2 linked regions of the Canis lupus familiaris genome follow. The protein of the gene in region 2 interacts with the protein of the main gene of each other region in a pairwise test. Links are inferred from orthologs where the notes say so. Each region holds a gene or a part of one and is shown on either strand. Other genes may lie near its edges. The genes, in order: PRMT6 and KIF9.

What was found.
Region 1: the proteins of KIF9 (region 2) and PRMT6 interact in a two-hybrid assay, tested with the Homo sapiens proteins (2 studies listed by BioGRID and IntAct). The link is inferred for Canis lupus familiaris from reciprocal best matches to the Homo sapiens genes KIF9 and PRMT6.

The regions. Positions count from the first base shown.
Region 1 is NC_049227.1:44,890,027-44,894,387, reverse strand, and holds PRMT6 (protein arginine N-methyltransferase 6), read left to right. Parts: upstream 1-1,271; 5' UTR 1,272-1,311; coding exon 1,312-2,442; 3' UTR 2,443-3,903; downstream 3,904-4,361. UniProt on the Homo sapiens protein: Arginine methyltransferase that can catalyze the formation of both omega-N monomethylarginine (MMA) and asymmetrical dimethylarginine (aDMA), with a strong preference for the formation of aDMA.
Region 2 is NC_049241.1:42,013,912-42,017,716, reverse strand, and holds part of KIF9 (kinesin-like protein KIF9), read right to left. Parts: intron 3,097-3,805; coding exon 3,032-3,096; intron 506-3,031; coding exon 428-505; intron 1-427. UniProt on the Homo sapiens protein: Essential for normal male fertility and for progressive motility of spermatozoa.

The sequences.
Region 1 (4,361 bases), on a different chromosome or scaffold from region 2:
GGAAAAAAAAAAGATAATTTACCCGATGAAAATAATGAAGCAAGATTTAACTAAGATCATTTTAGGGAGACACAGTGGTTCTTACTCTGGCCGCACATTCAGATTCCCCAGGGAGCTTTTAAAACTTCATGCGCGGGGCTCCCGTGAAGTGGTTCTGACTTAATTAGTTTGAGGTGAGACAGAGGCACAGGTATTTTGTGAAAGCTACAGCTGACTGTACTGAGGAGCAAGAGAGCCCTCCAAGTACAGCTGAGGATGTCGGGTCAATAAACCTATTCCATTAAACGAGAGATTAACAGAGGGAAGAAAGGGGTGAAGGGACTTTAGTCCCCAAATACGGAATACAGGCCCGTCGGTTCAATGGACATAATCCGAGGCTACCAGAAAATAAAGTCAACTTTCTTCAATGTCTTTTTTTTTTTTTTTTTTTTTTTTTTTTTTGCTGGGAGAGAAGTTTATTCGCACAGTGCTGGGAACACAGACGCTCCCACGGACACCGCACATACTTCAAAGTGTATTTTATTTGTATCGTGAACAACAGGGAGGGAAGAAATGAACCCCTGACAGTTGACTGAAAGGGAAACGGAAGAGGAAAAATACCTCGTCCACGCCAACGACCACGCGGGGAAGCAACCGCGAGGCAGGCGGGCAGCCCGGGGGCTCCGGGGGCTCCGGGGGCTCCGGGGGCTCCGCGGCCCAGCGCCGCCTTCGGCCGCTCCCTCCGCCGCGTGTCTCACCAACGGATAAATAGGGTCTTTAAAAGAGAAAACCCGAACAAGGGAGGGAGGACGGAGCCGTGGAGCTCCAGCGGCGCCCGCCCCGTCACCTCGCGTCCCCGTCACCTCGCGTCCCCGCGCTGCGGCCTGGGGAGCGGCGGCGTCGCCCGGCGGGGCGCGACCCGACTGCAGGGGCTCCCGCCGCCAGGGGCTGGCAGCGCGGCCCTTCCGTGGCCCGGGGTCTCCTCGCGGCCCAGGGCCGGTTCCCACCCGCAGGGCTTTCTTCGTGGCGCTCACACCGTGCGCACCGCCCCTCACCTCGGGGCGCGGCGGGCTTCAGAGCGGGCGGAGGCAGAGGGCAACGGAGGGGCTGAGGGAGAGAGGCTCGCGGAACTCGGGCGCGCGGCGCCGACCCACCCCCCCGGCTCCGCGGGGCGGCGGGGGCGGCAGGGCTGCCAGCGCGGGGCCGCGCTCCGGGCTTCTCCCCCGGATAGTGGGCGGTGCCAGCCGGCACTACAAGTCCCAGAAGCCCCCGCTGCCCGGAGCCCGCGCGGAGCCGCGCAAGGCCCGCCGGGAGTCGGCCGGGGCCGCCAAGATGTCGCAGCCCAAGAAAAGAAAGCTTGAGTCGGGGGGCGGCGGCGGCGGAGGAGGGGAGGGAAGTGAGGAGGAAGATGGCGGAGCGCCGGAGGCGGCCCCGCCGCGACCCCGGAGGGCGCGGCGGGAGCGGGACCAGCTGTACTACGAGTGCTACGCGGACATCTCGGTGCACGAGGAGATGATCGCGGACCGCGTCCGCACCGACGCCTACCGCCTGGGCATCCTGCGGAACTGGGCCGGGCTGCGGGGCAAGACGGTGCTGGACGTGGGCGCGGGCACCGGCATCCTCAGCCTCTTCTGCGTGCAGGCGGGCGCCCGGCGCGTGTACGCCGTGGAGGCCAGCGCCATCTGGCAGCAGGCCCGCGACGTGGTGCGGCTCAACGGGCTGGAGGACCGCGTGCACGTGCTGCCGGGGCCGGTGGAGACGGTGGAGCTGCCCGAGCAGGTGGACGCCATCGTGAGCGAGTGGATGGGCTACGGGCTGCTGCACGAGTCCATGCTGCGCTCCGTGCTGCACGCGCGGGCCCGCTGGCTCAAGGAGGGCGGCCTGCTGCTGCCGGCGTCCGCCGAGCTCTTCGTGGCGCCCGTCAGCGACCAGATGCTGGAGCTGCGCCTGGGCTTCTGGAGCCAGGTGAAGCAGCTCTACGGCGTGGACATGAGCTGCCTGGAGAGCTTCGCCACGCGCTGCCTCATGGGCCACTCGGAGATCGTGGTGCAGGGCCTGTCCGGGGAGGACGTGCTGGCGCGGCCGCACTGCTTCGCGCGGCTGGAGCTGGCCCGCAGCGGCCTGGAGCAGGAGCTGGAGGCCGGCGTGGGCGGCCGCTTCCGCTTCAGCTGCTACGGCTCGGCGCCCATGCACGGCTTCGCCGTCTGGTTCCAGGTGACCTTCCCCGGCGGGGACGCGGAGAAGCCCCTGGTGCTGTCCACCTCGCCCTTCCACCCGGTCACGCACTGGAAGCAAGCGCTGCTCTACCTGAACGAGCCGGTGCCGGTGGAGCAGGACACGGACATTTCCGGAGAGATCACGCTGCTGCCCTCCCGGGACAACCACCGCCTCCTGCGCGTGCTGCTGCGCTACAAAGTGGGCGACCAGGAGGAAAAGACCAAAGACTTTGCCATGGAGGACTGAGCGCGGCCTCCTCCTCCGCCGCCCCCACCCCCAGCCCCAGGCGGCCGGCCTGCGGGGCGGGGTGCAGGGGGCCGGAGCCGCGGCGGAGCCCGGCGCGCAGGTGGGCGCAGCGCCTCCCCGCGCCCTCCCCGCGCCCGGTTCCCGGGAGGCAGGCGGACTGGAGTCTCCTCCTCCCAGGAGGTTCTCCCGGCGATATTTATTTAAAAAGTGAACCCCGAGGCCCCCAACGATGGAAACAGCTTGTTTATTACTGGGCCTCAAAAAGCATGTGGTACCAAGCACTTGTATTTCTGTTTCTTTTGTTTCGCGGGAAGGAAGCCAAACACAGAGGAAGGCTCCGTGCACATCCCTGATGTCTCCCACCCAAACCTGAAGCCAGGGAGAAGGCTAACGGGGTTTACCTAGACTCCATAAATTTCCACTATGACTTAAATATTATCTCTCCAGAGCCATATTCTTTCGTTCTCGAAATTCCCTCCTTTCCTAGGTGCCTCTAGGCTTCAGTGCTTCTTCCTCCTTGTTTTTTTAAATAAACTTTTGCTTCTGGTAATGAGAGGGAGGAGAGTGAGGAAGCAGTTTGAATTATCCTGTTCTTACACTTAACTACTTCCATAGGGTGCTAAAGTCGAACACATTTCTCCTTTTTGAGTAAAATAGGCCATATATAATTGTGCAGCATACCCCCCCCCCCCCCCAACATCAACAAGGTACATTTAGGAGAGAAACATCTGAAAGTGAAGTAGTACGGGTTTTTTTTTATTCTTGATTTTACTATTAAGATTTAACCAAGGCAATGTTTCGTGTATGTTACATAATAAAGTTTTGTGTGACTTTTATTAAACCAGTTGGCAGAAGGCTTTCTGAACCTGACCCAAGGGGTTTGTTCATCATATTGGGTAAATTCTTTAGGCTCTTTAAATTAAGGAAAATCTTTTCCCAGCTAGAGAAATGCACTCACTTAAACTCTCACTTGGGGAGATCATGTGATCTGGCCTACTTACATCAATTGAAATTTCCTTTTTTTAGTGTTGTTGAGTTCTTTTTTTTTTTTCTTTTTAGCTCAGCCAAATGTGAAAGTTGTGAATTTCGGAAAATCATTTGTGATGAAGTGTGAGTCATGTTATCAAATTTATTTCACGGATGTTTCCCTCCTTATCCCTGTGGCAAATAAAACATTGGCATTCTATTTTTATAGATGAAGTAAGAAGTCTTGTGTACTGCGACTTAATAATGCTTTTGCCTACTTAATATCGTCAGTTCTTAAGTGTTACAACCCTTTCGGAATATAGCTTCAGGATAGTTTATGCTTAATGTATGTTTTTTCTTCATACTGGTGGCTTTTGTATGCTGATAGAAAACAGGTGTGAGAAGTGGTCTTTGAAGTAATTCAGTATAGTTTTGTTTATTGTAAATGAGTTTTCTCCTTTATTCATCACATATTAAAGTACTGAAGTATTATAACCAATTTGCTAAAATGTGGTGTTAACACATGAGATCTTCCATTAGGAGAGGAAACATACAAAATCAATGACTTGCCAAGATCCAAGCAATGACAGTGATAGTTGTCACCGTTTTGATAGTTAACAGTCTGTGTAAATGGTGCAGTCATAGTAAAGTAGGCCTGATTTAAGCTGGAGGTATAAAATAAGTCCTTTTTATTTTTTAGGGTCAACTATATAAGATGAACGTTTATTTACAATACTAATGTATGATTTTGGGTAGATTTCTGATGCTTTTTTTGACTTCCTGTAACAATCCATTTGCTATGTGGGCAAACAAAAACATTCTGAATTCCAGTTTTTGAAATCCCTTTTATAAATGTGCAGATACTATGGAGTTCTCATCACTAGTATAAGCATGTAAAGAGAACACCAGTTAAAACCCAGTAATTACAGAAGCAAAAAGTCGGTATTTCATAA
Region 2 (3,805 bases):
CCTGGTTGATGGTGATGCTAAGCATGCCTTCTGATTCAGCAGCTGTGCTTGCTTAGAGGGATCATACAGGCTGGGAGGAAAGAGGTTTTGTAGTGATAAAACCAGATGAATATGAGAGGTGGTCCTTACTTGCGTCTGGAACAGTTAGCTCTAAGGAACTCTCATATAGAAGCCCTGGGTAATCAGAAGCCCTGAAGCCTCACACATGAACTGGGTGGTAACCTGACCTAGCCCTCTCACCTGGGTGGCCCCCTAGGGGGTCTTCAGGGACCCTGGAGACTCTGGCCTGTCCAGGACTAAAACCACTGACAGAGGATTGCATGCGTATCTTTAGTTGAGGTGGCAAGGGAAGCCAGTCTTGTCTCCTCGGCAGCAAACCCACACACTTTCTCTACAGTGAGACTCTTGCCCACAAGCCCCTAAGTACCTCAGCATCATACTTCTCATTGATGGCAGGCTCAGTGGTGACCAGCTTCATCCTGCTGGCGAACCGCAGTGAAGACAGCTGAAAAACAGATCACAGACCTCTATGTCTTTGGCCAATTGCTGTGAATAGAGACATTTGCAAAGCAGGTCAAAGGAGTCTACCGGGAAAGATAAATCTCTGCATGTAGACATATTCCAAAGTGAAGTATGGGGTCTCCTTCTTGGGGGTTCCTCCCAAGTCCCTCTGGAGGGGCAGCCAGGCAGGGGTAATTATGGCTAGAAGCCCATGAGGCAGTCACATGAGTAGGCACTTGAGAAACAGCCCCAATGCTGTGCCCCTCTGCACTGTTGTTACATGAGAGGTGGAGGGCTGCTCCCTGGCAGCGGGGAACAGCCAGTGGTAGCACAAGGGGGCCCTGAGATCCCAGCCTCACATCATACTGGGCTGGCTTGGGGCCCTGAAAGGACTCTTCCTTCAAGCAGTCTGGTTTAGTGGTTAAGAACTCTGCTGTTGACCAACTTCTTCTAACTCCTCTGTAAGATTGGGGAAACCTGCCTCCCAGAGCCTGGGAGGCTAATGAAGAGGTCTGTGACATGTTTTTTTTTTTTTTTTTTCCTTAAAGATTGTATTTATTTGACAGAGAGAGAAAGAGAGCACAAGCAGGGGTTGCAGGAGAGGGGGAGGTAGGTACCCCGCTGAGCAGGGAGCACAATATAGGGCTCAATCCCAGGTCCCTGGCATCATGATATGAGCAGAAGGCAGACGATTAGCCGACTGAGCCACCCGGGCGCCCCAGTCTGTGACATGTTCTATACAGAAATGGCTCACAGCAAGCCCTCAGGAGGAGACAGCTGCTTCTGTATGAGACTGGAATCAAGCTGTCTTGCTCCACACTCACCAGAAGTGTGGCCAGGACTCCCTCACTGTGTTTACTCCCACATATACATGCACTGTCAAGGAGTAAAGCAATATGATCCTTTCACAGGAACAGTGTTAACGGTTTAAAGCATTTGAAAAAGAGAAGCATTAGCTTCCACACTCCATTATGCCTTTGTCTCAAACCCCTGCGGCAACTCTGGGCTCTGCGGGCTCCTTCCTGGGTCACAAACCCCCCAGGAAGGCAGGTACCAGGAGACCTGCTTCCTGTGTGGTGACGACCTCAGAGGTGGGGACAAGGAGAGAGAGAGAGGGGGGCCTTCCACTGTCTTGGAGGACATTTTTCAACAAGGCAGTCGGAGGCCCAATTTTCATATGGTTCCTCTTGGGGTTCACATGTGCTTTGTTATGCTATGAGACTGGGAGGTTCCTGGAGCCTCCCTCTGGGGATGTTGCCTGTGCGTCAGCAGGAGCTCCCTCCTTGGCCTTCCAAGTCCCAGGACACACTCTCTGGACACAGGGATGGTCCCTAATGCAAGAAACTGGGAGGCCCTGCAGGAACATCTTGCCTTGCAGTGTGCCTGGAAAGGACCTATTTCACCGAAGTGGATTCTCCTGATGACTGCAGCTTGCCCTGAACATCTGCACTTGACAAAACAAAATATCTATGGAGAGCTTTCCAAATCTGCTTTATATATGATGTGTGGCCCTTCTGAGGAAGAAGGGAACCACTGCCAGGGTGCCCAGCTGTGTGAGCTCATGTGTGTCACTGCCTTGGCCATTAGCGCCAATCTGACTACCTCTGATTCTCATAAGCTTGTACCCTCCCAGGTCACCTGGGTCCTGCAGCTTGGTTAATCGCCCTGAGTCATAACTCTGGCCATAGCCCTCCCCTATCCAAACCCCAGGACACCCCAGCAACCAGCCAGAGCCAACCAGAGCCAAGGCGTCAGCCTGGCCACCGGGGCCCACGCAGCCTCCACAGTTTTTCTCTCCCCTTTTTTCCCGTGGCCTCCCCTGTGGTGGCCAGAGATTCCTGGCATGGCTCACACCTTCAGGCCCACAGTCCCCTCTGCCAGGAGCATCTTTGCTTTCTGTACTGCCTTTAACCCCAGACGGTTCAGGGCCCACCCTCCTCACCCCAGTTTGAGGAAGAGTCCCTCTTCCTCTGAAGGACTCCTTCATCTGGGCCGCTCACGTTCCTTAGGGCCATGGCAAGGAACCCTGAAGCCTAGGGCCACAGATAACTCACCTCTACTGAGCTGCTCTTCCCACCACCCCTCACCACCCTATACACAGCACATGCTTAGCACCTGTCAGCTCCTACTGGCCTTATAACCACAGCCTGGAACTCTGGTGCTTCTAAGATTTTTAATTGTATAATTATGAAGGACAAGAAATCAGCTATCCTTGGTCCCAATTCACAGGAACAGCACCCCAGGAAGCCTGGCCCTTGCCCTCTGTGTAACTCCTCACACAGGCCCCCACACTGTGCCTGCTTCCTGCCTTGTCTTTTCCTCAACACAGCCTCTGCCCCTTAGTACTTGGTATTTGGATTCTGCCCAGGCCTCCAGCAGCAAGTTTGGCTGATTCATCCCCTGGATCCTTTTCCTCCTGACAATGTCTATGGCTGATATGCCGGCTTAGCCAGCCTGGAGCCAGCCTTACCCAGCCCTGGAACATATGAGAAGGGATTCCAACTAGGTTGCATGGGCAGTCTTGACGTACCGTCTCTTCTAATTGGGAGGCTTCTCCATAGATGTTCGTCAAGAGGACCATATTGCAATTTCCTCCTGTGGAAAGCAGGACACGGAAAGGCCATAAACCATGTGGGTTTTCTGCCAAGAGATTCCTTCGAGGCTGGTGGAGGTCTGTTATGGATTGAGTGTTTGTGTCCTGTCAAACTTCTTACGTTGAAGTTCTACCCTCCTAAGTGATGGCATCTGGAGATGAGGCTTGGGGGAGGTAATCATGTTTAGATGAGGTCCGGAGAGGGTGAAGCCCCCATAATGGGATTAGTGGCCCTAAAAAAGAGAGAGAGAGAGAGACCAGAACTCTCTTTCTGGTCCCTCTCTCTTTCTTTCTTTCTCTCTGCTGTGTGAAAGCACCGCAGGAAAGCAGCCATCTATGAGCCAGAATCTTCACCAGGAACCATCCATGCTGAACTCCAATCTGGGGTCTCCAGCCTCCAGGGCTATGAGAGATAAATGTCTCTTGTTCGAGCCCCCCCATCAATGGTGTTTTGTTCTGGCCACTTGAGCTGACTCAGATAGGGTCAGAGGAGACACACCCCAGCATGTATAAGGCTGGAGAAGGGAAGGGAAGGGGAAAAGCCACTGGACATACCTAAAAGAGAAGCGAGGGCAAGAACTTGGAGCAGGGAGGGGCAGGGAGAGGGCTGTGGGCCAGGGCTTTGCTACTGGCAGCACTCAATTAATAAGCAGACACCCAAGACTGTGCCATCAGTCCCAACATGAAAACCTGGAGATACAAGGATGAAAA